4 linked regions of the Saccharomyces cerevisiae S288C genome follow. Changing the gene in region 3 together with the main gene of any one other region gives a genetic interaction. Each region holds a gene or a part of one and is shown on either strand. Other genes may lie near its edges. The genes, in order: STB5, CTK1, CAF40 and CSF1.

Region 1 (8,992 bases), on a different chromosome or scaffold from region 3:
CAATGATTTTCCAACCCAAAAAGGAAGTTCTTACCGATTCTACTCCGTTTTGCTTTACTAAGCACACGAGACGGAAAAAGCATGCCGCTTCCGTTCCGTGCAATATATTCATTCATTTGTAATGAGCATCCAATGGTTGGTAAGAACACTTAGTAGAGTCTGAAGATTGAACAAGAGATGCTAAGAGATCTTGAATTACGGAAGTTCATTACGGAAGTTCATTACGTAAGATATTTCCATGCATCCGTCGCAAGTTCCGCCTCTTGGAGACATTTTGTCATCGCTAGCGTAGGAAGTTGAAAACGCGTATTGTGCTAAGCCGCTAAATTGTAGTGATTTTGATGATAGTGTTCCGGCGAAGACCTGCCAGCTCTTATTTCTTACTCACTTGCGTTTGGCGTCTTGTAGCATTATCTATCTTATAGAGTTACTTACTTTCAGAAGCATCTTGCAACAAACGACATAATTGCAAAGATATATATATATAATCAATTAATTGTTCTCATAAATCGCTTTAAGAGTTCATGGCAATCAACTTTTTCATTTGTCATTAGGGTTGTGTTATAAAGTACTCATTTTTCATTAAAATACATATGTGAATAATCAATAGAAGAATCTTGTCGTGAAAAAAACTGTTTCATTAAACGGCAGCAACAAGCCGCTGCCGTATAGTATGACGACATGACAAAACTCGGTGAACATATGTCATACAAGTTTATCAACCCAAGAGACGTCAACATTGTTTTCGTCTAATATGTCTTGATATGAATCGCTGGCGCCAAATAACTCTCTTGTTAATTGGTCCATATTAGGAACTTTACCATGGCTTAAACTAATATCGAGAATTGTGTTGCTAATGTTTTGGAAAACATCCGCGCATCTCATAGCAAAAATCCATCTTTCACCGAAATGTCTTAGTATTTCCACACACTGTTGAATTTCGATTTTACTTTCAATGAGGTCGATGCTCCACTGGCAAAGACAGTATAAGATAGTGTTACAAATGGTTAATGTTCTGAAAAGGGTTATCCAGTTCAAGGGTAATAACCGCTTCTTGTACAGTGTATAAGTATGTTTCCAGGCTTGCAAGCAAAACTCTCCTAGAGTGGATAGTGAGTCAATGGGCGGTTTTGGCATCAATGCAGATGGTCTGTATAGTAAGATTTGCAACTGGGAGTATCTCATTGCTAGCCAAATCTCAGAACTATGGAAGGATATTACATTTGTAGTAGAATTGTTCTCCCTCTCCACCTGATCCATTTGAGATTTTTTCAGTTTCCTTCTTTCTGATTCTCGAGAATAAATTTCGTCTAGCTCCTTGCGTAATCCACTTATGATTTCCTGCTTTTGTTCGATGGTTAACTTTTGTCGCCCTGCACTTACAGAGTGGACTTGTTTATAAATGCGACCGCCCATTTTCCTTAATGATATCATCAACTTGGTCATCTCTAAATCGTCTCTTTCATCCACATACAACGCCCTCGGTAGTGGCACAGTGATGTCTTCGTCGTCGATCCCGGATATACGGCCCAACGAGGTGCATACTAGCCTTTCAAAGCAGTAAGCACTCCAAAACACTCTATATCTTGCCTCTGCTTCTAAAGCAGACATGCTCTTGAGTTTTTTGGCAGTTAACTCTCTATTTAAACCTAATCCTATGGTCAATCGCATGATGATACCACTAATTGTCCATGACGAGGAGCCCTTTGGCTCAAAAAACGAATAAATACCCAACAACAATAGGCATCGTACAGTTTCGATATCTTGTAAAATTATAACACTACGAAATTTTTTCATGGCCAAAAAAGCCAAATGTTCACTCAGACACTCTTCGTCCTGAGAAACCATACCAGCACGCTGTAAAGTTGTACAACCAATAGCCATGATCATGTATACTTTGAAAACAAAGCTGTCAGGGTAGTTTTTGTTGTCATATAACCTTTCGAAATCAGTAATTGTCGCGGCGTCATTTAGGAATGCTATTTTATCAATCATGGGAAATAGACGGTGATTGTGTTTGAAGTATGCGGCAATGAACCTGTCCAGTAAGGATCTATCAATTGACTTGAACGAGCCATCCTCTCTGACCCACGATGTTGTTCTACCACCTTTAAAGCAACAGGACATAGTTTCAAATTCGATCGAGGATGCATCAACCGGCACAGAATCGAATTTCCCATTGGGGGCTGAATTGTTTGCATATGGGGTAAGACTCAATTGCGGTGTGTTGGTACTGCCATTGTTATTATCGTGGTTAACATTACTGCCGTTATCCCCGTTGCTAGTATTGCGATTGTTGTTTTGTAGCGGTACGGCTTGGGCGTTCGCAGGCACATGACTGCTAATTAGTGGTGAAGGCGTGTTATATCCTCCGAATGATGAAGTTGTCGAACTTTGCTGCACGGAAGCTGGCAATGATCGGGAAGGAATCATGGAATTTTCATTAGAGGATAAGTGCGAAGAAGGATTAGAATTATCATTCAGCGATGTTAGCACCGAAATTAGCGATGAGACACCTTCGCTAGAATTTGGACTTGCCCCCATGACAAGATTTATTGGATCTGACGGTTTTAGCTGTTTCATCTTATGTGCATCATCGTTTTCGTAAGGCGAAAACCCGGGAGTTATAGCGCCATTTGCGGATAGCGGACTAGAAGAGTTTGGCATGCTCTTAGTGCTCAATGGGCTTTTTCCTACCTTCTTGTTCCTTTTCACTGGAACATATTCCCCTCGTAGCATAGCATCCGCTAACTCCTTCTTGGTACGTCTTGGGGCTCTACCTGGATATGAACAGTGTGCCCCATTTTTATCGCAGTTTGCACATGTCGGTATTTGTTTACCACACTTCTTCTTTAATTTTCTGCATCGTGCGCACGAATACAATTCAGTAGTACGTTGTGATCTCCCGCCTTGATGTGCAAAATTGGGACCATCCATGTCCTTCTTTTACACCTTTGTATTAATTTTTTAGCCCTGTACGCTCGGATATTATACCTCTTGTTACGTAGAGGAAATAACCGAACCTTGCCAAGAACTTCATTGTCGGTGTTTTATTTCGGAAGCTTATTTTTCTTTTAGTATTTCCGCTCGCCCTATTTTTCCCGTGGTATCGGCCTTGTCGTTATATTCCCTGCGGGTGATGGCGCCATGAATTAAATGCGACGCTATATAATAAGCTAGTAAAACAAGATATATTATGTGAAATTAAGTAGACAATCTGTCGGAGAATCTTCTTGGCATATATAGTATAATCGAGTGTAGTTTTCTTCCCGTTTTCCGTTGAGATTGAAGCCTTTTTTTTGTTTCAATTCCTGATGTTCATCAAAATAGAAGGTTGCAAGGAACGCATTAAATAATTCGTGAAATTTACAACTTTTGCATCAACAATGGAGTAAGCCACTCTTCATTCTTGAGTGTATTACCAGCATTAGTAGTGTTCTAAATGATTCAACAGTGCTAAGCGCTTCTTGTTTTTTTTTTGCACTTTTGCTTTTATTCGGGTTGAAATCGTCGTACACATTACCACAAGTACCATTGTTTCAATGATGAATCCGTTTATATATGCGTAGCGAGTAGATATAGAATCTGTTAACATAACTTCATGCCTTCTTGTCTTAGAACATTCCTATACGCGAGAACCGCGCCGCGAAGAAGAAGCCACAGAAACATAAACGTATCCTCAAGAAGTCTTCGAGCTTTAAGTCGTTTCTCTTAGTCTCGCTTTCACAGTGTTACTGCTATCATTTCTTCACTCCTGGAGGCAAACGGATATTCTATAGAAGAAATTGGATGAGGACAAAATGTGTTGTTGCAACTTTAACTACGTGAGAAAGGTGAAAGTAAGGTATTAGAAGAGAGGACACAAGAGTTATAATATCAGTAACTTTCGAAGTGGGTATCTCACATGGTTTTGATTGGGGTTCTCGATTGTTTTGCCCCCCTGGTTTATTCATTTTTCATAACAATGCCAAGAACCGTTTTTAGGTTTGATTTCTCAGTTCCCTTGCGTTTCTTTCTCTGGAAATTTCATGATAGAATTACAAATTTGGATATGCTTGTTAGTATATGATACAATGATGGAGGTGAAAATCAGATGGTCCTATAAATAGTTTTTCGAAATCCATCGATGGTAGGGAACAACAAGAACAAGCACCCTCCTGTTTTTTTAAAACCCTTTCTGAAAAACACACAATTGGCTGCCCTTTCTATGTAGTGAAGAATCCTTTTGGAATATGAGCGGTACTTTAGGTGAACCTTTCAGCAATTGAAAGGATGCTGATCTTCTACTTTGAGTATTGGTGGGATTTAGGATTGCTTGATGTGTTGTTTTTACTAAATGTTGGTGGATGTTGCATGCTGTCTGGCGCATGAATCATTTGGTATTGTGTTTGAGCCGGGGGATTCATACGAGGAGCTGGCAAAATATAAATGCCATCTAGGTTCTTGTTGGTTGTGGAGGTGGTTATGTTTACATTTGGAGGATTAATAGAATCTGTGACTGGTTTTGGTTGTCGGTAATCATGCACAAGTATATGGTGTACTGGGGGCATCATTGTTGGGGCGATAGGCGCCTTAGAGTGATTGCATTCAGGACCCGACCTCGAAGAGTATGGATCGATATTTTGGTATGGTATTGGGCTCAATGTATTGGAGGAGTATATCACTGAAGGCGACACGCCACGCCGTTCATAAGGTGCTGCAGTAGGTTGTTGCGGGAGAGTATTGTATGTATTGCAGAAAATCATAGGTTGTGAGACCGTACGTCTCAATCCAGGCTGATAGTTAGGATTGTAAACACCAATTGGTTGTGGCTGGTGCTGCATATACGGGAGAGGTAATTTATTCTGTTCATCTATGGGTAAGAGATATTGTTGCTGTTGTCGGTGCTGCTGTTGGTGCATTTCTCGAGGAGCGTTATTGAAGGTGGTTAAAGGTAACTGAACTGCGGTCCTAACTGGAATATTTCCAGGATGGTTGTTATAATTGCTCAAGAGATCACAATAGCTCGGAGAAGATGATAAAGACCTGCGCGTTTTATAATTATGAGCTTTGGTTCTGCCTCTCTCATTATTTTTAGACGGGTTAGATCTGCCATTTCCTACAGCAACTTTTTGTAAAGCATCTAATAGTTTCTGTGAAGGTCGAAATTTATGGAAGAAAGGATTTTCTGAAGGTCTCCTCAAACTTCCTTGATGAATATCCTTTTCCGTATAGTACGCAATAAGATGAAATGTTTCCAGCTTAGTGCTGTCGGTGGGATCCATATTGAATTTTAGAGAAAATGTTTTTTTCAGTAGTCCAGTATAAAAATACTTCCTATGAGCCCTCTCGAAGATATTATACTCAGGTACATTATGCAGCGGTAGATCGTGCGTGGAACCCAGCCTATTATACTCTCTATATACGAGAAATTTGCCTGAAATTCTTGAAGGAGACCAAGAAAAACCATCTGTCCATCTTTTGATGCCGGATTTCTCTTCGTTGAAAACAAAAATGTTTCCGGGGTTGACTAATTCAACCTTTTCTGCATCATATGGCCTCCGTTCGATGCATCTCAAATTTCCATTGAATACGCCCTGGAAAACAAGGGCTAGATCTTGCTCGTCGTCGATGTACCCATAACAGGTAGGGCTGATATCCATCATTCTTACGCTTACTCGTCGATCTCCTTTTCCTATCTATTGTTTGATTAATTATCTTAATTCGTGGTTCCCTTTTTTCTCGCTTTATTTGTTTGTTTTGTTGAAGAAGGGCTTACAAGAATGTACGTATTAAATAATAATTCATACAAATAAACAGGGAATGATACATAGTAGTTCTCCCGCAGCAGCTACGTATGAATTACCCGCCTACCCGGTACTATAAAGAAAGAATAAGTGGGCGTCGATTATGAAGATTTACTAACTGCAATTATCATTTTTTTGATTTTCCTCAGTCCCTTAGGTGCGTTTTTGTGTTAATGCCTATTTTTTTTTTCTAGGCTTTCTTCTTCACTTCCTCTTTCCTCTTGAATTTTGAGGAATATACGACCGAGAAAAAGACAGACTACTTAAAAAGTTGCCAGAGTGATTAAAGTTCCGGGAACAAGGCTAAAATACGTTTACAACATATTCTTCCTTTTTTTTCCACATAAAAAGGTTAATAGTCATAGTCATATGTTAGCGTGATTTCAACTTAAAATTAGAGATTATTAGATAATTTTTTTTTAAATGACGGCCAAGAAAGTGAAAGTCTAAAAGGAACGTTTATCGCTTAATTTCTCTCTGCCTCAGATTCATACGTTGTTAAGATCTTTAAAAGGATGGCCTTTGCAGGATACTGAGGTTTATGCTGGCGCGCCTGTGCGGATTTTCCAGATTCAAAAAGAAAGTTTTCTTTTTTTTTTACATGGGAACTGCGTAGCCGCGAAGCACTGCAGGCCTTTCAGAGCAATTTTTGGCGCTGCCTTTTAAAAACTTACATTAAGGTTCGCTATTGCCGAAACGGAAGAGGCGGAAATTTAAGTATTCGTTAATTTTACGGTGGCGGTACGGTATATTCTGCGTAAGCAATCTGCGGACGGCCGGATTATTAATCAATGTTTGAAAAAAAAAGATAGCAGAAGTGAAGATTTCTTATTTTAACAGCGATAAGGTATATACATGAGGGAAACGAAATATTAAGCGGCACAATATGTGTTTTTTCTATACAAGTACATTCCTTTTTACGTTAAGTATGTGGCGCCGGAAGGAAGTATGGTGCTTTTTTTTTCTTTAGGGCTTGTGCGTGTTCCGCTAGAAGCACATTTCTTTCTTCTTTGTCTGTATAACTACTGTTTCTTAGATCGATCAGTCTATCATCCCATACAACTGGTTCGAAATGACCGACCCTACGTGGAATGCTATTCAGTAGTTCCTGTAGTTCTGCATAGTATTCCAGGTCCTTTCCCTTTGGGAAGTTGTGCGTTCCGCAGGCATTAGAGTCGAAAGTTGTAGTTATCGGTAAGCTTTTACAGAATACTTCGACCATAATAGCCGCCTGTAGTTCCGACAACGGGAACGGGATGACCAACTGCGGGGTCAAGATAAAGGACAGCGTAGGATCTTTTACATAGATCATGTGCTCCCACAAATTGTGCAGATTGACAGACGAGTGCTTGTCGCCAGTAACACCCTCACCTAGCACTTCCAGTCTAACGGAGGGCTCTATAAATGGAAAGCTGTAATAATAGCCTGTGGCGAAAATAATGTAGTCTATATTCTGAAGTACTCTTCCATCAGATAAAGTAACTGAACGATTTTTCCAATCGGCACTGTCTATTGTTTGGACAGTCTCGATTAACTTGGCCTTCAGTTGATTGCTCGCAGGCTCTTTTATACTATTATATACTTTCTTTGCAACGGTAGTTAGTTGGTTGGCAATATCTTGGCCGGAACTGCCGTTTCCCACCACAATAACGACTTTTTCACGGGCAAACTCGCAGTTTTTGAAATCCTTAGAATGAAAGGCGCCCTTATTGTCGAACCATAGATCGAGACCTGCGATATTAGTTGGTAGTTTAGGGACACTGTAGTGACCAGACGCAACAATAACGAAGTCAAAATCCGATTTAGTAGTCCTTAGTTCGTCTTTAGATGTTATCTCCCATTGAGAGTTCTTCTTCTTTAAGTAGGTAACTTCGGTGCTGAAATGGATGCTGATAGCATCTTTGTTGGCAATGAACGTTTTGTAATAGGCTTTCAAGTATTCCCAAATGTTTCTTCGAGACGGATATAAAGGGACGTTTTCCTCGAAGGGAAAGCCGCTAAACTGCATTAACTTCTTTGATATATTGGTTTCCAAATGGTCATACATGACCCTCCCATCACTTTTTTGTTCTGGATAATGCCAGACACCGCCAATATCGTAATCCTTTACAAATATTTCTATTTCAAAATTTGGAAGACTTTGCGAGAAAACTCTTGCAGCTGCCAACCCTCCTGGCCCCCCACCTATGATTGCCAATCTTTTTTTGTCATTCACTGTCATGCCTAGTTACTTCTTGTTATTTCTCGCTTCCTGCTTGAATTTTCTGTATTATTGTATTTTCGACTTGTATAAAAACAGTGGCCCATTTAAATACAGTCCCAAATAACGACTGCGTTTTTGCAGTGGCATTTATCCTTGATATGAGGCTACAGGATTATCTTGCATAATGGCTTTTCTCGGCAAAAAGATGTCTGGCGCTTCCTATGTAAAGGTAATATCATGTGATTAAGAGTGAAAAGAGGAATTTAAAAGGTAGAAAAGGGTTCATGGAATCTTTCATAAAGCAGAACATTAATACTTGCCGCGTTGAAATGAGGTGCGATTTCGTGTTGTGGACGGGACATTAAATTCATCACTTATATAATTAAATATAACGTTATAGTAGATCGTCTCAAAACGGTATAACAACCCGCGCCCACCCTTAAATAGTATTACTTTTGTTCAAGATTAGCTCGAATGGTCGCTGGCAAACTGTTGAAGAACTAGATCGTTTCATGATTAACATCTTGGCGACGCAGAAGTTAATGATATAGAAATAGTGGACTATTTTGATTACTGAGGCTGTAGCCAATAAACGATAACATAAAGGGGGGGATATATAAACTTGTGTCAAAGACTAGTAACGTACGAGTGCTAAATATTATACATGTAATGTTAACGTAGTTTATCATTATACTCAGTGGGAACAAATAAAGGGAAGGGTATGAATGAGGAAGAAATACGAAAAATCCCGGATAAAAACAAAATAGATACAAATAGTATCAAATTTGTAATATTTGTCACCATCTTAATGGCAGGCGAGGGAGCTGTCATCTATCTCAGGACTATACGAAGTACACCAGCTGTAATTACCCCATATTGCCCCACACACGACAGCTAACATTAACCAACCATTATAAGTCATGAATACAAGCATGAGCATGAATGAGAATCCCACTTGCAAACCATATAGAATACTATTGGACACTTTGTCGGCTTGGTTGAT
Region 2 (4,015 bases), on a different chromosome or scaffold from region 3:
CGAAGAGGACACAAAGAATTTCAGGCAAGAGAATGAACGCTAACAAACAAAGGCAGTATAATCAGCTTGCACACGAACTTAGAGAGCTTCAAACGAATTTACAGGAAACGACAAAACAACTAGATATCATGTCGAAACAATGTAACGAAAACTTGGTAGGCCAATTGGGTAAGGTACATGGAAGTTGGTTGATAGGTAGTTACATTTATTATATGGAGCAGATGCTTGGAAAAACGCAATAAGGCATAAGAGGTAAGACAGTTAGTGGCCAGGCTAATTTATAAGATGTGAAATGAGATGGTGTTGGTACGATGGACAAACAGCTTGCATAAAAAGACAACCAAGTTACGTATAGTGAACGAGTGAAAATAGGCAAACCTTCTATTCACTAGGCCGCTTCACATGAAATTAGATGTTCGTATCATATTTACGGGTATCGCGTAATAAATAAGTTATTAATCTATTTTTTGTGTCTACTTATTTCAATTGGCTATATATCCTTATTTATCATCATCGTCATTATTATTATTATTATTATTATTACTATTACCATTACCCTTATTGTTTGTGTTGGTGGATAGTATGTTAGGACGCTTTTGTTTTCTTGCCAATTTGACTTCATATTCGTGGCAACTTACCAATCCATCAAGAACTAAAGGTTCAGGCTTTGGTTCTTCCTTGAAATAGTCGCTTTGTAAAGCTTCGGTTGCACTAAACCTTTTCGTCTGATCATAACATAACAAATTAATCGCCAATTGCAGACATTTTGAAGATGGTAAAACGCTTTTAAATTTCTCAGAAAAATTGTTGACATACTTGGTAGTTTGCTGTGGCATAATCATAAAAAACCACGGCATATCGTAAAGCGTTGGCCAGCTATTTATTGTAGGAGTTCCCATAATCTTGAAAATTGATTCTATTTGCTCTAATTCATTAGAGCCCTGGAAAATTGCAGTTTTATTGAATAATTCCACCAGGAGGCAGCCACAACCCCACATGTCAACTTCTGTTCCATAATTTGTAGTTCCCAACAATAGTTCTGGTGGTCTGTACCACAACGTAATGACACGGTTAGTGTAATCAGCTCGCGAATTCATTTTCCTCGCTAGTCCAAAATCTGTTATTTTTAGATTCCCCTGGTTATCGATTAAGATGTTTGAGCCTTTAACATCACGGTGTAAAATCTTATTATCATGTAAATATTCCATTCCTAATAGCAATTGTTTGAAGAGATGTTTGCATTGTGAGTGAGAAATTTGGACTTCCTTATTTAATAGTAATCCACTTAAGTCGTTGTCAGCATATTCAAATATCATATATACAGTTTTTTGAGATTCGACCATTATTTCTTTTATAGTAGAGACATTTGGATGATCAAAACTTTGTAGTAGTTTAATCTCTCGTATAGAGGTTATGGGAAAGCCTTCCCTCTCTCCTTGTAATCTCAATTTTTTCAGCGCTACTAACTTCTCTGTATTCGTGTTTTTTGCCTTGTAAACTTTACCATATGTTCCTTCTCCGACTTGCATTATCCTTAGGTAAACTGACGTGCTCCTTTGCTGCGTTAGAACCGAAACTGGAACTTTCTTAGCTATGACAGACCGCCCTTCCTGGCCTTTGTGGTTATAGTATTTTGAAGCATGATAGCCATTTTTTATATCATTACTAGTATTGGATGAATTATTATATCTTGATTTCTCAACAGATTTGGGCCCCTTTGGCAAATGAGACAGGAATTCAGCCTTTGTTTCATCCCTTTTTATGCTTTTAGGCCTATTTTCATACGACGTATTATTATTGTTGTATCTTGAACCTTGATATCTGGAACTTGTTTGAAAGGATGTATCGTTATAGCGAGATAAATTATTGTTACCACGACTTTTCGTGTGGCCTGGTTGGTCATTTGAATTTACCCTATGAGAAGATATATTGTCCATATTCGACTGGTAACCACTATCAGTCCGTATTCTCTTTGGTGGCGGTGGTCTCGCTAGGGACTGAGGATTTGGCGACCTCTTTCCGAACAAGGGTCTCTTATTATTTCTGCTATAACTCTTTGAATAAGTATTGCCATTATTGTAGGACATTGTTACCAAATAATTTATGCTGTATGGTCCCTGTGTTATTCTAGTGCAAAGAATAGTGCTAGAATTAGTTTTATTTACAAATAGGTTTTTTAAAAGTACTAATGGAACAAAAAAAGTCCAAAAAAAGCTAATATGCACAGTGAATAAATACACTGATAAGACCTTCTCTTTTTTTCTAAATGTATTTTACTGTCTGAACCGTCCATTTTTTAACATCTCATTGGCAATCAATATGTAAAGTTACCTTATTATGTAGAGGTTTTTCTCTTCCATCAGTGAAAAAAAAAAACGAAAAAAATAGAGCTTCACGTGACCTTTTTAAGCCAAATAAGAATAATGCTAAAAGGAAGTTAATTACTTTACTAATTTCCAGTATCCACAAGCATGAGGATATTAAGGACTTCTTATGAAATCCATTTATTGTGTATAAAACGTACGTATATTCTTTCTTTAGTTCATCGATTTTTAGATTAGCGCTAATATTATTATCCTAGACAAAAAATAGTTTAATAGGGTTTCTCTCGCATTCTTTTCATTCTTTATTTAGAGCATCCAGCGCAGTTGTCGAAGAGTTGGCATCTAGTTGTCGTAAATCTTTGGATGATTCCAGATAGGCACTTAACCGTCTTTGCTGCTCCTTATGGATTTGATCTTCTGTATCATCCTGGTGCTCATTTTCGTTGTCCTCGTCTATGGCACTAGTAGAAAACACTCGTCTTAAGAACCTTGAATTGTCAGCATTGTGGACCTCATCCGCTTCATCAGCTTGTACAGACAACGGAGAACGGTCTGCCGAGTGAGTTCTATAACTGAGACCATGCGTTGGATGAGTTGTCTTCCATGTCGTGCTTGGTAATTCCTCAACCAGACTTGCTGATGGTAGTAACTGGTTAGTCTTCACTGAAACATTACCAGGGTTAAAAAATTCAATAAACCTCAAGACTTTAGCAATGACCAAGGTATCGGCATCTTTGCCCCAAATCAAATCCAGGTGTTCATAATTGTCAACTTTAACATCAAAGACGGAGTTGAAGGGTAGATTTTTTTTCATCACATCAATATCAACTAAAGAATCTATGCCACCATAAATTAAAAGAATGGGAATCTTGATATTTGTTCTAGTAGGAAAATTAGCAATTTGGTAAGGCCTAGTTAAGGAATTTAGCATGTTATCAGACTCTTCAAACATTTGAAATTTCTGAGATCTTAATATTTGGAACCAGTGAACAATGGATTTTACACTGGTCGTTGAATAAAGTTTTGCGTAAGAAGCAATCTTTTGTCTCGGTAGAATGTTAAACGACTTCCAATTGAACAGTATCTTGTTTGCGATATCGATACACAAATTGAAAAGTGTTGGATGTAAAGTTCTTTGCCAAATGACAGCTGAAGGTAACACAATTTTCCTACCAAAGAAAAGATACATAAAGCCGGGCGATGATTTGGCCAAGGTATCGACAATTCTGTTGTGCAACCCCTTTGGAGTCATAGCGGGTGCTATGGCTATAAAATGGGAGACTTTTCGATTCAATTTTTCACTCAACGAAAATGCAGCAAACATTTGAGCAGAGCCTTGAGAGAATCCGATGCAGATGACCTTGTCCACTTTTGTTATATCTAAGATGAATTCAATTGAGTTTGGAATGTCAAAGAACGCAAATTCGTCGATAGAAAAATCCCAAAACTTGTTCGATTTTGGTGGTTTGTTCAAGTGGGCAGTTGAATATTTATTACCTCTATTATTTCCCATCCAGACGTCGTAACCTAAATCATGCAATACAAACGGTAAGTTTTTATGTCTTTCAATATTGCAACACCAAACATCAGAACACATCAAAAGACCGTGATGTAAGTATACCACTTTATTGTTAAATCTGTTTTTAGAAATCGGTGGGATTCTATGCAGTGTCAAGATATAATTGTCTTCA
Region 3 (7,525 bases):
CGGTAAGCAGCTACTGTTCAAAATAATCTTATCTACTACTTCTTGTATGGATAAATCTTCTTGAATGTTGAAAACAGCAACTTCTTCGCATGGCAACTCATCAAATGTAGCGGAGAAGTTACCAGTGAAAGAACTCTTAACATAATCACCAGCATTCAAGAAAATCGAGTCAATTTCATATTCATCTTGGAAACCTTCATCACCATCAAATGGCTCATTAGTGTCAGGGTTTATTTCTTTTGTAGTGAATGTTAAGTTGTTCAAGAAACCTTCCATTACAATTTCATCAAGTTTTTTGAATGCAACGTAACAAGCTGCTTCCTCGGATGGTAATAATCTGTCCACTTGTAGGGTGAATAGCTCTTCTAATTCAGCTTCATCAGAAATTTCAGGGGTACAGACTACAGAAACATTGTCTAGGGCAATATCCGTCAGAGTATTCGTAATATTAAATTGTAAAACAACATTGTCTTTGAAGAGATGTTTGACACCACGTACAACGAATTCTGCTTCTGGCTCAGTTAATGAGATAGCCCTAGAACTATTTACTAATTGACCAAATGGTTTAATTTGTTCAATGGATAGCAATTCGTCAGCGTACTTAGTAGCTAGTAGATCTTCTTGGTGGTCGTCCAAGTTTGGACCAGCAAATGAATTAGCGTCAGCTCTTTTTTCTGGAACACTCTCTGCCTCTGGTGTAGTATCCAAAGTGGTTTCAGACTTTTGATTGAAAATTTGTTCTTGCTTTCTCTTCAGATTTATTGCCTTCATTTCATCCTCAGTAAACTTACGAACTTGATTCACATCAAATGCAGTTGCAAATGAATCAGTATTTGAGGAAATGTAAGAACTTAATTTTGACTCTAATGATGGAATATCGTAAAAATATTTGGATTCGATTAGATTTTGTGCTATAACATCATCTTTATTCCTAGCCGAATCAATGAATTCTAGTGCAATGGTGGCTCTGTCTCTGACTTCATCGTCTTTATCATTAGCGATTCTCTTTAACAAACTTATGATTGACTCATATAAGGTAGGATCGTTCTTCGTCAAAGCAAACTTAGATAAAGCTACAACGGCAGCAGATCTAATAATAGAATTTTCCAACACCACTCTGTTATAAATATGTCTAACATATAATGATGGATTTGGGGCAGATGGACCTTCTTTACCCAAAAGATGTAGTATTCTCACTAGTATTTCGTTGAATTCACAATCCTCGATGAAATCACACAAGTTTTCTAAGGCGAGTTCTTTAGACTGTGGAACAAATGAAACAATATCGATTAATGCTTCGACAATACTGTTTTTAAATTTGAATCCACCTTCACTATTTTTCAAAACATCGATTAAGAAGTTCAAAATTGACTTCCATTCCTGTGGGAAGTTCAAAGACAACGTACGAACGGCGTCAATAATAATGATCTTAAAGTCATCACTGACATCATGGATAAAATTAGTAATAGTCGAAATCAGAGATGAAATATTTTTGGAAGTTCCTGTCTTCAATAAAGTGGTGATTGCATAAGTAGAAATGTTTCTATTAGAATCATTAATTAAAGATTCTAGTTCAGGATTACAAACAACAATCTTTTCTGGTGAAACCATGGATATTCTATTTAAGATTCTCAATGCAGCGAATCTAGAAGAAACACGAGGAACGGTCAGTAAGGACTGTAAAGCACTGATAGCTGCCGCATATAACTCGGGAGCCACTAAGCGGGAATTGCGAGTAGCGAAAGAAGTAATCAATTTCGCCGTTTCCAACTGAACAGATTCGAACTTGTTGGATAGCCAATCAGACAAAAGTGGCCTGAATTGACTAAATAATTGAGGATCCCTATAAATCAAATCGTTGACAATCTTGACCAATTCTACCTTGGCCAATTGATTTTTCATAGAATTGTTTTCAGAGAAATGTCTAACCAATTTTAGTAACGCCATTTTATCAGTTTTCTTCAGTTGATAAAGCAACCCAAGAGCATGATATTGAGAAATATAAGTGGAGTTTGGATAATATTCGCTATTACCGTGTTGATTTGGAAATTGTTTCAAATCCAAAACAGCTTCTTGAGTTTCATTGGTGAATCTTCTGATAGTGACTTCTGAAATGGGCAGCAAATGATAAGAAGTACATAATGCTGCTGAGGATATTGAAGGATGTCTACTTACCACGGCACTTTTTAATAACCTTTCAGCGGAAAAAGCAGTAGATTCATCCAAGACATAAGTCAGCGATCTAATAGCGTCAGGCTTAATCAAATCGGAACCGTTTTGAACGTCCTTCATGATTGAAGAGGTTGCCATCAACACATCCTCCGAAATGCCACTCAATTCCTTGATTGCCAAATAAACAGCCTGCCTTAAAGGATCGTTCTGGTGTTGAAATAATTTGGAGATAGAGAAAAATAATGCAGTTGCTTCATTCTGTGGGAAGGTTTCGCCCTGGGCCAAGAGTCTCAGCAAGCGAGAAATCAATAAACGACATCTCTTGGAATTGACAGGTGATTCGTTAAACGTGTTCATACAATCCTGATAAATGGTCATTTTATCAGGTAAATCGCCCGAGGTCGAGTTTTCAAACTTTTTGTAAGTATGTGCAGACATGTTGATTCGCTCTGTGATTTAGTATCGCTTCTTGGCTTTTGTCCTATCCGTATTTGTTTAGTTATTTTGTATTATACGTCGTTCTGTAATGTTTGCGGGCTCACCTGGATGAAGCTAAGAACAAAAAAACGGGTTTAGCAGAATAACTGAAGAAGTACGTTGGTAATGAGCACACACAATTCCTCCCTTGCACTTATTTGTAAAGAATTGTGTTCTCAACAATGCAACTCGTATCCAAAAAAACGCCTATGTATATTTCATTGATCTTGACGAAACCTTTAGATTTCGAAAAAAATAGAATCGTGGTTCGTGGCGTCGTAGTGAATGACACAAGGGGTACATTCCGGGTGATAGGATGAAAAATGGGTAATAGTAATAGTACAGAAGAACCTTCTGGCACTTAACTTAAACCATTCTGAAATATGAGTGGACTTTATACATTTCATGCATATAAATATAACTATACAAAATTAGGAGAGGTGAGGAAGTGAAACTAAAACAAAAAGGCAAGGTTAAAACAATACAGGAAAATAGAAAGAGAAAAACAGTAATATATCTATGGGGATGCATCATGAGGTTTCTTCGTTTAATGTCAGTAGCAATTGTGCCAGACATCTCTTGGACCCGACGTCGTCTCTTAGTACTTCCGTAAAAGTGTTATCTCTCAGTTTGGCAGGTAAGACTATTTTCAATAGCCTGCGTGCTTCGAGATCGTCGCTTAATCTTAAGTAGCATCTAATGATATGTTTCAGTAGTCGTCCCGGTGGTGTGCTCACGGTCAAGTGCTCAACCATATCTTTTAAGACATTAGTTACGGCGTAGAACCTTTCCAAGGTGGCACAGATGTATTGCAATCCAACGTCATCTAGTAGGATTTTCTGTAAAATGAAAATGGCGACTGTCTTGGAAAGCTCAGAAGAAGATTCCATGATCCTTAGGCATAACGGCACGATATCGGTTCTTAGCAAAAACGTTATTACGTCTTGTGAGTCATTTTTGACCAATGCGCCTATCACACCTAATGAAGTCAATCTCAAGTACTCAAAAGTTCTTTGCCTGGAGGTAGTATTTAGGAAGGGGAAAAGAAAGAGAGGAATATGGGCCTGTAAAAAGAGATGTTTTGTCTCTGGGTGAGATGCAACACACTGTAGAAGAACTAGAGCGTTGCATACACGATTTGATAGATTGTTAGAGAGCATCTGAGGTTGCAGCATGGGATATACGGAAATGATTTCGTTCAGCAATGAGGTCATTACACCAAAGGAAGACCAAAGCACAACGGCAAGGTCATCAAACTGTTCTCTTTTGCGACCTAATTCAAGCAGTGCTTGTTCCTTTTGAGGGCCGTAGGTCAATTGACAAATCCAGTGGTATACATTGGGATCATCTAGAGCATGCACTGCGCCTCTATTATTGACCATGTTGGGATTGTTTCGAGTTGCGTTAGCATCGTTACCGCCGTTATTGCCGTTATTGCCGTTGTTCTCGCCATTTTCATTGCTATTATTATTATTCGGAGTATTGCCCATTAGCATGGGGCCTCCACTTGGAATTTGTTGATTCATGCCTGGACCCATTGAAGTTGGAACCCCAGGCATGGACATAGATCCTGGATTATTAGTTGAAGGACCACCACCACCCATGTTCACGCCTGCTCCATTGCCATATATTGGCTTTTGAGCGGAAAACATATTAACTTATTCAGAGGATGTTCAGTTGCTGTCGTTGTTGCTTCAGGAACAAAGTTTAATCTCGTCAAGATCAGCAGAAACACACACACTCGCAAATTTGTCAAAACTTGGGAGTTTTAAAAGATGAACGGTTTCTAACTTGCGTACTCTACGTCTTTGCAATCCCTTTACAATGTCTTCTATGCGTAAATTACTTTAAATTTGGATTTTGCCTCTTGCTGCTCGCAGCAAAATTCTCAGCATGTTGAGGTGTGTGGGTGGAGTTTTTCCTCTCCTGCTAGTAATACTTATGCAAGAATCTACGTCTAATGAGGTGCTCACGTTTTGCAATGATGATATAAATAGGGACAGTAATCTAATATAGACAAGTGGGCGTAATAGGGTTTTCTTCTCTCTCTTATGCATTCTGTAAGCATCTCGCTTTATGTGAGGAATAGTAGTAAAAGCGTATGATACAGGGAAATAGTAGTACTTTTACAATAGTATTGCTACTTGCATTCCCAAAAACATTCAATAAATGCACTTGGTTTCGAGCGTCTTTTGTTTATTTTTAAGTTTTGTTTGTTTTTTTTATTGTTTTGCTTCGTAGTTTCAATTTTAAACATTAATGTGTGCAAAAACTATAAGACAATGGTATACGCAAGAAAAACTATAAGTAGCATATTTAGTCTACTCCGAGCCATATCGGAAAGAACAATGTCGCGTCTTGCAAAGGCTGTTAATACATAGAATAGGCCACTCCAGGCATGTAAATACATGATTGATTGGATGAGCAACACTGAAATGGACCAGTGGCAACCTAACAGGATTTCTGATCTATTTCACGCCCAGAAAAAAGGCGTACATTCTATAATCTACTTAACAGACCTATACAAGCACTGTCCTACATATTTCAAAAGATTTAATTTACATATCGATTCCGTTCAACGTAAACAGTTTGCTCATAATACAGTCACAGATGTGAGAGAAAAAAAAAAAAGAAAATAAAGGAAAATGGATCAGAAATTTGGGTATACTTAATGCTTCATAGGACACCTGAGTACTTGTGGCATCCATGTTCAGACTGGTGCACAGCTTTTTTCTCGTCATTTACCATTTTTCCTTGAATTCATGTTTAATTTTCATCTTCGTCATGTGTTAAGGTACTATTACGAAACAAAATGTTAACGCCTTTGATAAACTTATCAAAGTTACGAGACCGGTTCGCACTACGATACTTTGCTATTGCTTCATTTTTTCTATCATATGTAAAACATAAACCACTGAGAGAAAACTTCTGCATTTAAATCAAATATGTCCGCCTTTTATACTTTAAGAAGAAAAAATTTATCTTTTTTCTTCCTCATATTGCAGGTATCACCCGAATGGAAGTTATAACGGCACAATCACTTAGGGCTTAACATACAATAACAAATACCATTTTTAATGTTGTGTTCAGTTGATTGTTATTATTATTAGGTATCCTTGATTATTTAAATTTATAATATATTATGTATCCGTTAATTATGCTCTATTAAAAATCTTTCTCCCACTAAGAGCCCCGTAAGGGCCATCTTGTTTACCACATTAAAACCCATGTTGACTCATGATCTGTTCCAGATCCCAACTTTGCCTGTTGACATTGTCGTTCCATTTCTCTACCGTCCTGACGTAATTCGTGTTAGCGACTGTGTTGTTCGCTATGTTGGTTACATCTTTTAGCCTTCTTAGATCATTACAACTGTCGACTAGAGTAGCAGAACTTAAATCGGATGCTATCGACACGTTTCTCTGTTTTTCGTAGAGTTTGAATCTGTTGTTTGATCTGATAGGACTCGTGCCAGCACAAGTCCTTCTGTTCATGGACATCATCATGTTAATTCTCTTCCTTTGGTCGCTGGATCTTGCCAAGTCTTGCTTGATGGGCTCTAATAGAGGCTGCAGATCTAGGATCAAATCTTCTGTGTTCACCCTGAGGTCCCAGTTCAACAGCTGTAACAACTGCCTTTCCATAAGGTTGATATCCTCTAGTGTAAAGAGACCATCGGTGTACCTAGCCCAGTGCTTGTTTAAAGGAGAAGAGTCATTGTGAAACTTAGCACTCAGTATCAAACAGGCCAAGAAAATGCGATGGATGGTCGAGGGGAGACCAGTAGCGTCCCTGGGCAGAATACGCTTTAATTTGTTCAAATAGCACGCAGCGGTGAGCAGAGTGGGTGTGTAGACGTTGGTGTATCTGACCAATCTAGTGATAAAAGTCATTAGCGATGGCAGCCTTGTGAGGTGTTTCTCTCCTGGAGAACCGGGAGGCGTGGGGTAGTTGCTTGAAGGAACAACCCTCAATGTTGTGTCTGTTAAGAATTTTATTATGTCATCCGTTACTGGCGACTTGAGCAGAATATGAAGAGCCTTGCTGTATTCACACATTTTATTACTTTACTGTTATTTGTATAATTGATTGTTTTTGTTATCGTTTTTGTTCTTGACAATGGATGATTGCTGATGTACGCAATAGTAATTCCAAGACACAAGAGTTAAGGACAAGCTTATCAATCCCATTACCATGTAGGCCTATTGACCTTATATATGTTTTCCTATCGCTATATGGAAGCTACCATTCCTTTTATTCTCCATAATAACGCCAAAATCTGCCCACAGCCTTGTAGCCTCATTTGGCTCCCGACATTTCGAGTCGCTTTTGCGTCGCATGCCTCCGCGAAAAATTTCGCGCCGGACGCGATTTTTAACACGAAATTCTTGTTCGTGCCGCTGTTGCCCTTTTGGGAAATATTTCCCGATCTGGCATTCGCAGAACACTAGAGCCAGAGTTCTGCCATTCTTTACGTCCAAGAGGTTAAAGTACAGATCACGTAACGGAATGCTACTTTCTGTAACAATTTGGCGATTCGCATTCTCAGTTGTTAGCTAGACGCCAATTGATTTACGGTTTCCGGTATGCAAATTGAAAATGCTTTCATCTATTTCTTTTATTTTTTTTATTTCGTTCTGGGCGTTGTGTTATGTTGTTATATTGCACAATGCAGTTGTTCTGTACATATTGTATCTATACATATTTGCGTCGATTATACGTTGGCTTTAACAGTTTCGTTCTCGAAGCTGGCCTTGATGGCGCCAATGACCGCGCTGCCCTGAATCTGGTCGTTGCCACCCTTGGATATCGAGTACTCTATATCGGCCAGTTTGGTAAGCAAATGCACTCTTGTTTCCTCATTTTGAAGTTCGTA
Region 4 (8,927 bases), on a different chromosome or scaffold from region 3:
GAATAAAGGCTTCAGGGAATATAACAGATTGATACCCTGAGAAGCAAGCTTTTCATCTTGTAAAAAACTGTTTACAATACGGCGCGGCTCCGAAAAGGTTAACTTAATCATAGATATTGAGATGTCAACGTTTATCAACGAATAGCCTTCTCTAGAAATTCCTCCTTTAATTTCAATATCGCCAAATGAAAACCTTAGGTATTGCTCCTTTGTCTGGTGCGATGTCATGAAAAAATCAGTATCCCATATGCTTAACAAAATCTCATTTGAACCGAATTTGTTAAAATATATATCAAGCTGCTTGGCTTCGTGACGAATATAAAATGGCGAGAGCGGCATAACTTCAGAACTAACGTTTGAAAAATAACATGACAAGACTGTATTAATTTTCTGGTCGACAAATTGGGACTTTTTCTTTGATTTAGGTTTAAACTTTATGCGCTCTTTAATCATCATCAGACTTTCCCTAATTTCAGTAATAGCGGTTACTAATTGCTCAGTTGAACTCATTGCTCTAAAATGAAGATCTGCGCACTGGTTGTTTATCAGAATCGTAGGCTTGTGTGACCATGCCTCAGTAGTCGCTAAAACTGAAAAGTCGCGCAGTTGAGCTTCTCCCAAAATGACAGATGTGTGTTTTAACCACACTTCCGATTTCTGGGAAAATATAACCAATGAACCCGCTTGACTAGTTGAATCTTTTAGATTTTCCCATAGTAAACTAACTCTACCCCCAACTGTTCTACTCATCAGCTTCGTTTGGTCCATGACCAGTTGCAGTTCACTTTTATCCACTAATAAAACGGTGTTCATTTTGAATTGCTTTGATAACTCCTTTTTTGGATCACTTTTGTCATCTTCGCCCACTGCTGCAATGAGTGGAATAAGATCTTGCAATTTAAGTAACCTATCACTGAATTTTCCTTTTACTGAGCCTACTCTTCCCGTAATTTCAATAGTTTCTTCTCGATTTGAAGGTAAGCTTGTCACCGGAGGCGTCAAATCCACTACCAGATTGGCATCCGCAACAACAAAATTATGCTCAACCTCATATCCCTCACCATAAACAGTAAGGTAAAATGATCCCATGGTACACTTCAACAATTTTTTAATCAAATTTTGTTTATGTTTCTCATTTTCTGCCGTGAATAATTTGCCGTATATATACGACCTTGCAACATCTGAGAACTCCCAATTTCTCCAAGTCGAAAACACAGACATGAAGATATTTTTTGCATCTTTAGCAGAGGTATATTTCTTTTCTTTTAGCACTTCGTCGATGTTGCTTTGCCAATCATCAGGAAGGTACGTTAAAATGTGTCTCAGACGCGTAATAATTTTCCAACTACGATTCTCACGCACATGCCCTTTGGAAAGTCTCATAATAAAAGCAGGTTTTGTTATGACGTAAGGATCATGACTAATTTGATAATATTCGCTTGCGGCTGTGAGCTTTGAAATGAGTTCTGTCTTTGAATTACTTCTGGTGTTCTGAATAGAATTAAAAGAAGTGCAAACCTCTTGAATAAGATTTCCCTGGTCACTACAGTACTCAAACAGCCATTCCATTTGAGATTCGTCTATGGTAATATCTGATGACGTTAAGTTTAATGAGTTAACTTGTCTATCTTCTGTAGAAGACCATACTTCGAAACCCTCAATCCCTAGCGACAGTGCAGGGGGACGATCTTCAGACAAGTCTGGATTTTTCTTCTGGTTAACAGTCACTCTGACAGTTTTTACCTTTGCTAAAGCTGCTACTTCTAATAATTTATTTGTTCGGTTCTTCTCTAGAGACTTTTCACTCATTTGATAATCAATACGATCTAAATAGAGCTCAAAACCTTCCTCACCTGTCTCTTGCCAGATTAAATTTAGATAAGCAATATGGATATCAATGTTTGAAATAGAAGTGATCCCTTCTTGAAGGTTGCTTAATCGTTTCACAATCCCAATTTCAATATCGTCTAAGACTTGTACCATGTTTTCAGAGTAAAGCTGTTCTAATAAACTCTTAGCGAAAATAAAAAGCAACGGGTCGACATCCAACAGAATATATGAAACATCAACAACATAGTTATCCCTTTCGTGGTTTCTGTCTTCTGTAAAAGCGACAGGTTTGAAGCTTGAAGGGTCCGCTTCTTCGTCATTATCATCTTCACTGAAGCTGGCTCTTGAAGGCTCCATAGTTGATGGAGTTTCTGCGAATATGTTCTTGAATGGATTTGTGGTCTCCAGAAGGGTAGCATACTCGCCCACAATATCTTCAATGATATAATCTATAGTATCAGGCAAAGTGGGAAGAGGTAAAGTTGGGATAGACGAAGATGGTGCTATAGCCCCGTACAGGTTTTGGTATGTATCCGAATCCTGATAGAACAGCGGAAGAAGAAAAGGACACCTATGATAGGGTGAATCGTGTATTGTTATATATCTGCGTTGTTCTGATCTTTTTTTATCGATATCCTTGTATTGCTCAAAGTTTGTAAATCTTAATTTTGTTTCGAATTTGAGAAATGATGTGTCTACGCCATCGCCCATCACGCAATTTAACGAAATTGTCAATTTTGGAATTTTCACGTCTATTCTTTGTGAATATTTTTCGTTTTCAAAGTCGATCAAAGTAAACAATATCGATTCAGCACTAATAACTGATTGAGATTTCATCACCGGATCTTTAAGGCCTATTCTTATTTTTTCAACGTGCACGGTTAGCGAGGTCATATCATTAATGGTCTCAGTGTCATATAATAATATATTTTCCAAGTCATTGTAGCCAAAACCTATCTTATAAAAGGAATTAAAGAATCCCTTTATAAATTCAATATCTGAATCAATGCATAAATCTCCGAGATTGATATCCCATTGACAAAAGTAGGTAGGTTCTGTGGGTGGTAATCCATACATTCTATGTCCATGAATGGTGAGGTCCGAAAGCAATCCGTGCTCTTGCTCATCAGCTCCGTTATTACGACGTATAAAATCAAATACTTCATTTATTTGTTTTGAAACGTGCCGCTTTATTGAAGTCCCGTTGAGAACCGCCATTATGTCCATATAATAATTACAACTTCTGAAATCCACTACAAGTTCGGCAAAATGTAGTGCAATGCATGGATCAAAACTGTAAATCGTTTCTGGTAATATCAGAGCACCATCCCAAACCGAAAATGTGAACCAAATATCAGTTTCGTTGGTAGTCCTTTTCAAATCTGACCTTTTCATAGGACCTTTATCCTCAGATTCGTTCTTTAGACTGCTATTTTGGTACCCTGAATCTACAGTAGATGCCAAATCTGCCACCGAGCTTTTCGTAGTGACATCTCCGACTTCCCTAGCGCCAAGGACACCTGTGTACTCTTCTGACGTCACAAAATTAAAAAATTCACCGAAGTAATTCATCTTTACGTTTGTTAAATACCTCATGACAAACCCATAGCAGTGAAGTACTGTACTCTTGCTGTTACACTCTATGACTAGCGTATCGACATTATCAATATCTAACTCGGAATAGAGAAGGTAAGAACCTTTAATTGTAAAGTCGTATGCTCTCCCCACTTCTTTATGTTTCATGAATTCGTTCAATGTATTCCAAGGGGGGGTATTTAACATCATTCTGAACATTGGAGTTGAGATCTCGTAGGACATATCTGTGTATGTCCCCAAAATACTCTCACGGGGTACCGTGACATCAATTGAAAGCTTATCACCATGAAGGGATAAATAACAGTTTTCGTTAAAATCTAACGGATTGTTAACAATATTGTGATCATTGACGTTTAAGTAAATGGAATATCCTTCCATTTCCCAATTGACTTTGTATACGAATGGTCTAAAAAGTTCGTAAGGCGTAGGATCACCAGCGGAAAAGTCTGAAAGCGTATCTGCAACTAAAGTTATATGCTCACGTAGCAGAAACGCCTCTAATTGTTCTGACTTCATGTTAATTATCCATATAGCTTTGCTATTCCAACCCAATGGATATCCAATATCCCCATCAATATCGAATACCTTGCTTTTTAACAAAATATCGTGATTAACACTTGACCTAATTTCGGTTTCCAGGAAATGAACATGGAAATTATTCTGAAAACCTTGCACTGTAGGACAAACACTTATATTGAAATTTGCATAGGTGTCCTTACAAAATCGGAGATCCATCCATCCAAATGGCCTATATTCTTCATTAGTTTCTTTGTAGTGTTTCAAAAATTCGGGGTCTTTGCTACTTTCCCTCGTCGGTATACGCCAAGTAGTATCTTCCATTATTGATATATTCATCCTGAAAAGTGTATATATTCTTCTAGAACCTGGCGGGAGTTTTTTTATAGGTTTGGCTGTCCTTGAAACTACCGGTGATAGAACTCTTTGTAGATGACTGACTTGTCTTTGAGCCCAAGGTCCGTAACAGATGGATCCTCCGTGAATTTGAACATCTAAAGCAAAATCTGGAGGTGCTCCGTTATTGCCCACATCTGGTCCATCAATATCAGGTATTGTCGGATGTGCACCATGTGGCACAACGCCCGGAACATCCACGTCATATGCAATTGTGACCTTTGGGCATTTTAAAATTGATGTAAATTTAGCATATTCATGGTTCGTCAAATCGAACTCAACATCATCTAAATCACTTGCTTTAGCGTCGCCCGCAGAAGCCTTATAAAGAGATAAACCTTTCCATTTATGATAGAAATTGTCATCTGATGTGCCTGCGCTTTTTTTAGTCTTTTTCGGTACAACAGGCTTGGTTACTATCTGAAAGACTCGTACAAACGTTTTCCATAACTTTGACACTTTCCCTCTATCTATTTTAAACTTCAATCCAATAGCATCATCGTAACCAATATTTTGTTTGATAGAAATTTCGAAGTTTTTGAATTCCATCTGTGTTTTATTTCTGTATAAATCTAATCGCTCTTTTGGAGGTAAAACATCTATTATGCCTTTTCCACTTTCATAACTTAGAATCATAACAGATGGCGTGAATTTGTTTCCTAACAGTAGGGAACCGCGGCTAAATTTAAGCTCAATTGGTAAAAACATCAGTAGCTTTGGATGTTTGCCGATATCTGTTTCTTGGTAGTCCCTGTCATTAACAATTGATGCATCAGAGTTCGTTGTGTATGCAGATTCGCTTAGATCTTCATCTAATTTATCAGCACTACTTCCATCGCTAAAAGGTTCAGGAAAAGAATGCTCATTAAGGTATTTTTCAAATTTATCGCGTTCATCTTTTGATAGTAAGTTTATAACATTATCGTACGCCACTGTTCTGTTGTAAATAAAAATTTCTAGACCTTCACATTCTACGGAAATTTTACAGGGAAGCTTTGCTTTTTTGCCAGAAGAAGACTTGTTATTCTCTATCAATTCTGCTTTTCTGCAATTTAAAAGCCAGTATTTCCATGTTAAACTACCCTCTAATACCGAAATTGTATAATCTTTGTGTATTACGGAAAGGTTTTTAAAATGTATTCGACCACCTAGTAAGGAGACACGAAGTGTCTCAACATTTATCTTGATTTTCGCTCGTTTCCATAGTAGCCATTCTAATATAAAACTTACAAGGTATGCATAGATTCTTCCCATGTAGAATATCATTGTCAAACATACTACTACCGTGAGAATCCAATCTACTAAAAAGACCCAGCTAAAGTCCTTTTGGTGTGTCAATGGAACACCACGTAATTGTGAAATAGCTTCCATGCTTGCTAACTTATTACCGTCAATAGAAGACTTGAGTCAGGTGGCTTTAATGAGTACTATTCTTTTTTTTTTTCCAAAGAGCACTATGTTGATAATACCGCAGTAATTTTTTTTGAGTATCCTGTAGCCTAGAAAGGTTGAAGCTTATAAAACCGTGCCAACAGCTTTATAGTGGGGAGTTTGGCTTCCCTCTATTTGTATATTGATCGCCATCCCTACGAAGTTATTGGGAACGCATCGTGAACCTCTCACTTTAATGCCAGCGGTAGAAAAAAAAGTCATAAACAATACACGCCGGCTACACTTAGAAAGAAATGACATTTGCTGTCTTATAAAAGGACTTGACAGACCAAAGACGCGTATAATACACCAAGAATGGCCTTATTGGAGAAGTTGCATCGAAGGATTGTTGATATGGGGCTTGTCCCGCGTATAATCGCCTTATTACCAGTTATTTCCATGCTATGCGCTCTATTTGGGTTTATTTCTATAGCTATTCTGCCTATGGATGGACAGTACAGAAGAACATACATTTCTGAGAATGCATTGATGCCTTCACAAGCGTATAGTTACTTTAGAGAATCTGAATGGAACATTTTGAGGGGCTATCGATCTCAAATTAAAGAAATGGTAAACATGACTTCTATGGAAAGAAACAATTTGATGGGTTCTTGGTTACAAGAATTTGGTACTAAGACTGCTATTTACGAAAATGAACAATATGGAGAAACATTGTACGGTGTAATGCACGCTCCTAGGGGTGATGGAACAGAAGCGATGGTGCTTGCCGTTCCATGGTTTAATTCAGATGATGAATTCAATATTGGCGGCGCAGCTTTGGGTGTATCTTTAGCAAGATTTTTCTCACGTTGGCCAGTATGGTCCAAGAATATAATTGTTGTCTTCAGCGAAAATCCTCGTGCAGCATTAAGATCATGGGTTGAGGCATACCATACTTCCTTAGATTTGACTGGTGGTTCCATTGAAGCTGCTGTTGTGTTGGATTATTCGAGTACGGAAGATTTCTTCGAGTATGTAGAAATCTCATACGACGGTCTGAATGGTGAGCTGCCCAATTTGGATCTTGTCAACATCGCTATATCCATTACGGAACATGAAGGTATGAAAGTTTCTTTGCACGGTCTACCCAGTGATCAGTTAACTAATAATAATTTCTGGTCAAGATTAAAAATATTATGCCTGGGAATAAGGGATTGGGCGTTGTCCGGTGTTAAAAAGCCCCATGGTAACGAGGCATTTAGCGGCTGGAGGATTCAATCTGTAACATTGAAAGCACATGGAAACAGTGGTCATGATATTACTACATTTGGACGTATACCCGAAGCAATGTTTCGCTCTATTAATAACCTTTTGGAAAAATTTCACCAATCGTTCTTCTTTTATTTGTTATTAGCACCACGTCAGTTCGTATCCATTAGTAGTTATTTGCCAAGCGCTGTGGCTTTATCTATAGCATTCGCCATAAGTTCATTAAATGCATTTATAAACAATGCTTATGCAAATATATCCTTATTTTCCGAGTATAATTTGGTAGCGTTGTTGGTTTGGTTCGTGTCATTGGTGATATCATTTGTTGTTTCACAAGCGTTTCTTCTAATACCTTCATCGGGATTATTGATGACAATTAGCATGGCATCTTGTTTTTTACCTTTGATACTTTCCAGAAAAATTCACATCTCAGAACCACTATCATACAGGTTGAAAAATGTTGCTTTTTTATATTTCAGTTTGGTTTCAACATCTTTGCTAATGATAAACTTTGCAATGGCTTTACTGATCGGCACATTGGCATTTCCTATGACATTTGTGAAGACCATTGTTGAAAGTTCTAGCGAACATGAGGTGACAACTCAATCCTCTAACCCAATAAAAACTGAGCCGAAAGATGAGATAGAGCTCGTCGAGAATCACATGGATACAACGCCAGCAACCCCCCAACAACAGAAACAAAAACTAAAAAATTTAGTACTATTAATTTTGACAAATCCATTTATTTCAATAACCTTATTCGGACTATTTTTTGATGATGAATTTCATGGATTTGATATAATAAACAAACTGGTTTCAGCATGGTTGGATTTGAAATGTTGGAGTTGGTTTGTACTTTGTATAGGTTGGCTTCCATGTTGGCTATTGATATTAGCGTCATCGTTTGAATCTAAATCTGTCGTAGTAAGGTCGAAAGAAAAGCAAAGTTAGGTGCCATTGGTAAGAAGTAAAGGATTAACGGGTGTTCGAACTACGCAATTGATTTTATACGCACAAACATTACAAATCGAAGCAAAAGAAGATGAAATGATATGATATACTGATACAAATATGTATTAAATAAAACATAAGTATTGATGGAAACATGGCATAGAGAAGCGAAGATGCGATAATATCAAATAACTATATGTGAGTTGTGGAAGAAAGAAACGATCACATTATTATAATAAACTAGCTATTTAAATGTTTATTGAAGACTGTTCTGCCCCCTTTTATTCAGTCACGGTATTGGTCAAAAAATTCTTTATGGAAACTTTCCCATTTCTTAATCCATTCCAGACCAGGTGCCAAAAATGTTGTTCTTAAATGGTAAGTACCAGGTTCTTGACCAAACCCAGAACCGGGAACAGTGCAAATGCCAGTAGATTCTAACAACTTCTTACAATAAAATTCATCCGGAGTTAACTCTAAGTGGCGAGCTTCTTGAACTGCCTTGAAAGGTAAGTCTATCTTAGGGAATAAATACATGGCACCTTGAGGCTTTTGACATTCAATGCCTTCTAAAGAGTTAAATGTCTCATACAGTGTCATTGCTCTTGTAATTAACTTTTCATGGATGGAGTTACGTTCTGCTTGGTCCGACTCGAATGATTCCTCCCCTTCCACTGGTGGACGAACCATCAAATCAACCAAAGCTTGACCTGTGACAACGGGACACAATGAAATCGAGGCTAGTTTCAAGATAACTTGTCTCATCTCATGGCTGAATCCAGTGAGTTCCATGTAGCCACCCCTTTGACCACATTCACCAGAAACACCCTTAGAAGTCGAATGCAAAGAAGCTAGCTGAACATTATCGAATTTACCTGGATGTTCCCTCTGTAAATGTCTCAAAATTTTCTTCATAGAATGGAACTTGGTGCCCGGGAAGATATTTTCTTGATAAACTTCGTCAGCTATCACTACTGTACCGTACTTGGCTGCGACTT

What was found.
Region 1: mutations in CAF40 (region 3) and STB5 together harm fitness more than expected from each alone (negative genetic interaction), as found in Saccharomyces cerevisiae (2 studies listed by BioGRID).
Region 2: mutations in CAF40 (region 3) and CTK1 together harm fitness more than expected from each alone (negative genetic interaction), as found in Saccharomyces cerevisiae (3 studies listed by BioGRID, with this or other methods).
Region 4: mutations in CAF40 (region 3) and CSF1 together harm fitness less than expected from each alone (positive genetic interaction), as found in Saccharomyces cerevisiae (3 studies listed by BioGRID).

Annotation. Positions count from the first base shown.
Region 1 is NC_001140.6:453,244-462,235, reverse strand, and holds STB5 (Stb5p), read right to left. Parts: upstream 2,938-8,992; coding exon 706-2,937; downstream 1-705. Other genes in the region: ROF1 (Rof1p), read right to left, coding at 4,284-5,645; FMO1 (N,N-dimethylaniline monooxygenase), read right to left, coding at 6,709-8,007; YHR175W-A (uncharacterized protein), read right to left, coding at 8,529-8,678; CTR2 (low-affinity Cu transporter), read right to left, coding at 8,795-8,992. UniProt on the Saccharomyces cerevisiae protein: Binds to SIN3.
Region 2 is NC_001143.9:181,030-185,044, reverse strand, and holds CTK1 (cyclin-dependent serine/threonine protein kinase CTK1), read right to left. Parts: upstream 2,088-4,015; coding exon 501-2,087; downstream 1-500. Other genes in the region: HSK3 (Hsk3p), read left to right, coding at 33-242; TGL1 (sterol esterase), read right to left, coding at 2,620-4,015. UniProt on the Saccharomyces cerevisiae protein: Catalytic subunit of the CTDK-I complex, which hyperphosphorylates the C-terminal heptapeptide repeat domain (CTD) of the largest RNA polymerase II subunit.
Region 3 is NC_001146.8:87,079-94,603, reverse strand, and holds CAF40 (CCR4-NOT core subunit CAF40), read right to left. Parts: upstream 4,302-7,525; coding exon 3,180-4,301; downstream 1-3,179. Other genes in the region: SEC21 (coatomer subunit gamma), read right to left, coding at 1-2,610; PCL1 (Pcl1p), read right to left, coding at 5,868-6,707; RFC3 (replication factor C subunit 3), read right to left, coding at 7,364-7,525. UniProt on the Saccharomyces cerevisiae protein: Acts as a component of the CCR4-NOT core complex, which in the nucleus seems to be a general transcription factor, and in the cytoplasm the major mRNA deadenylase involved in mRNA turnover.
Region 4 is NC_001144.5:310,023-318,949, forward strand, and holds the start of CSF1 (Csf1p), read right to left. Parts: upstream 5,710-8,927; coding exon 1-5,709. Other genes in the region: GPI-anchor transamidase subunit GAA1, read left to right, coding at 6,085-7,929; alanine transaminase ALT1, read right to left, coding at 8,215-8,927. UniProt on the Saccharomyces cerevisiae protein: Tube-forming lipid transport protein which provides phosphatidylethanolamine for glycosylphosphatidylinositol (GPI) anchor synthesis in the endoplasmic reticulum. Required for the glucose and other nutrients uptake at low temperature.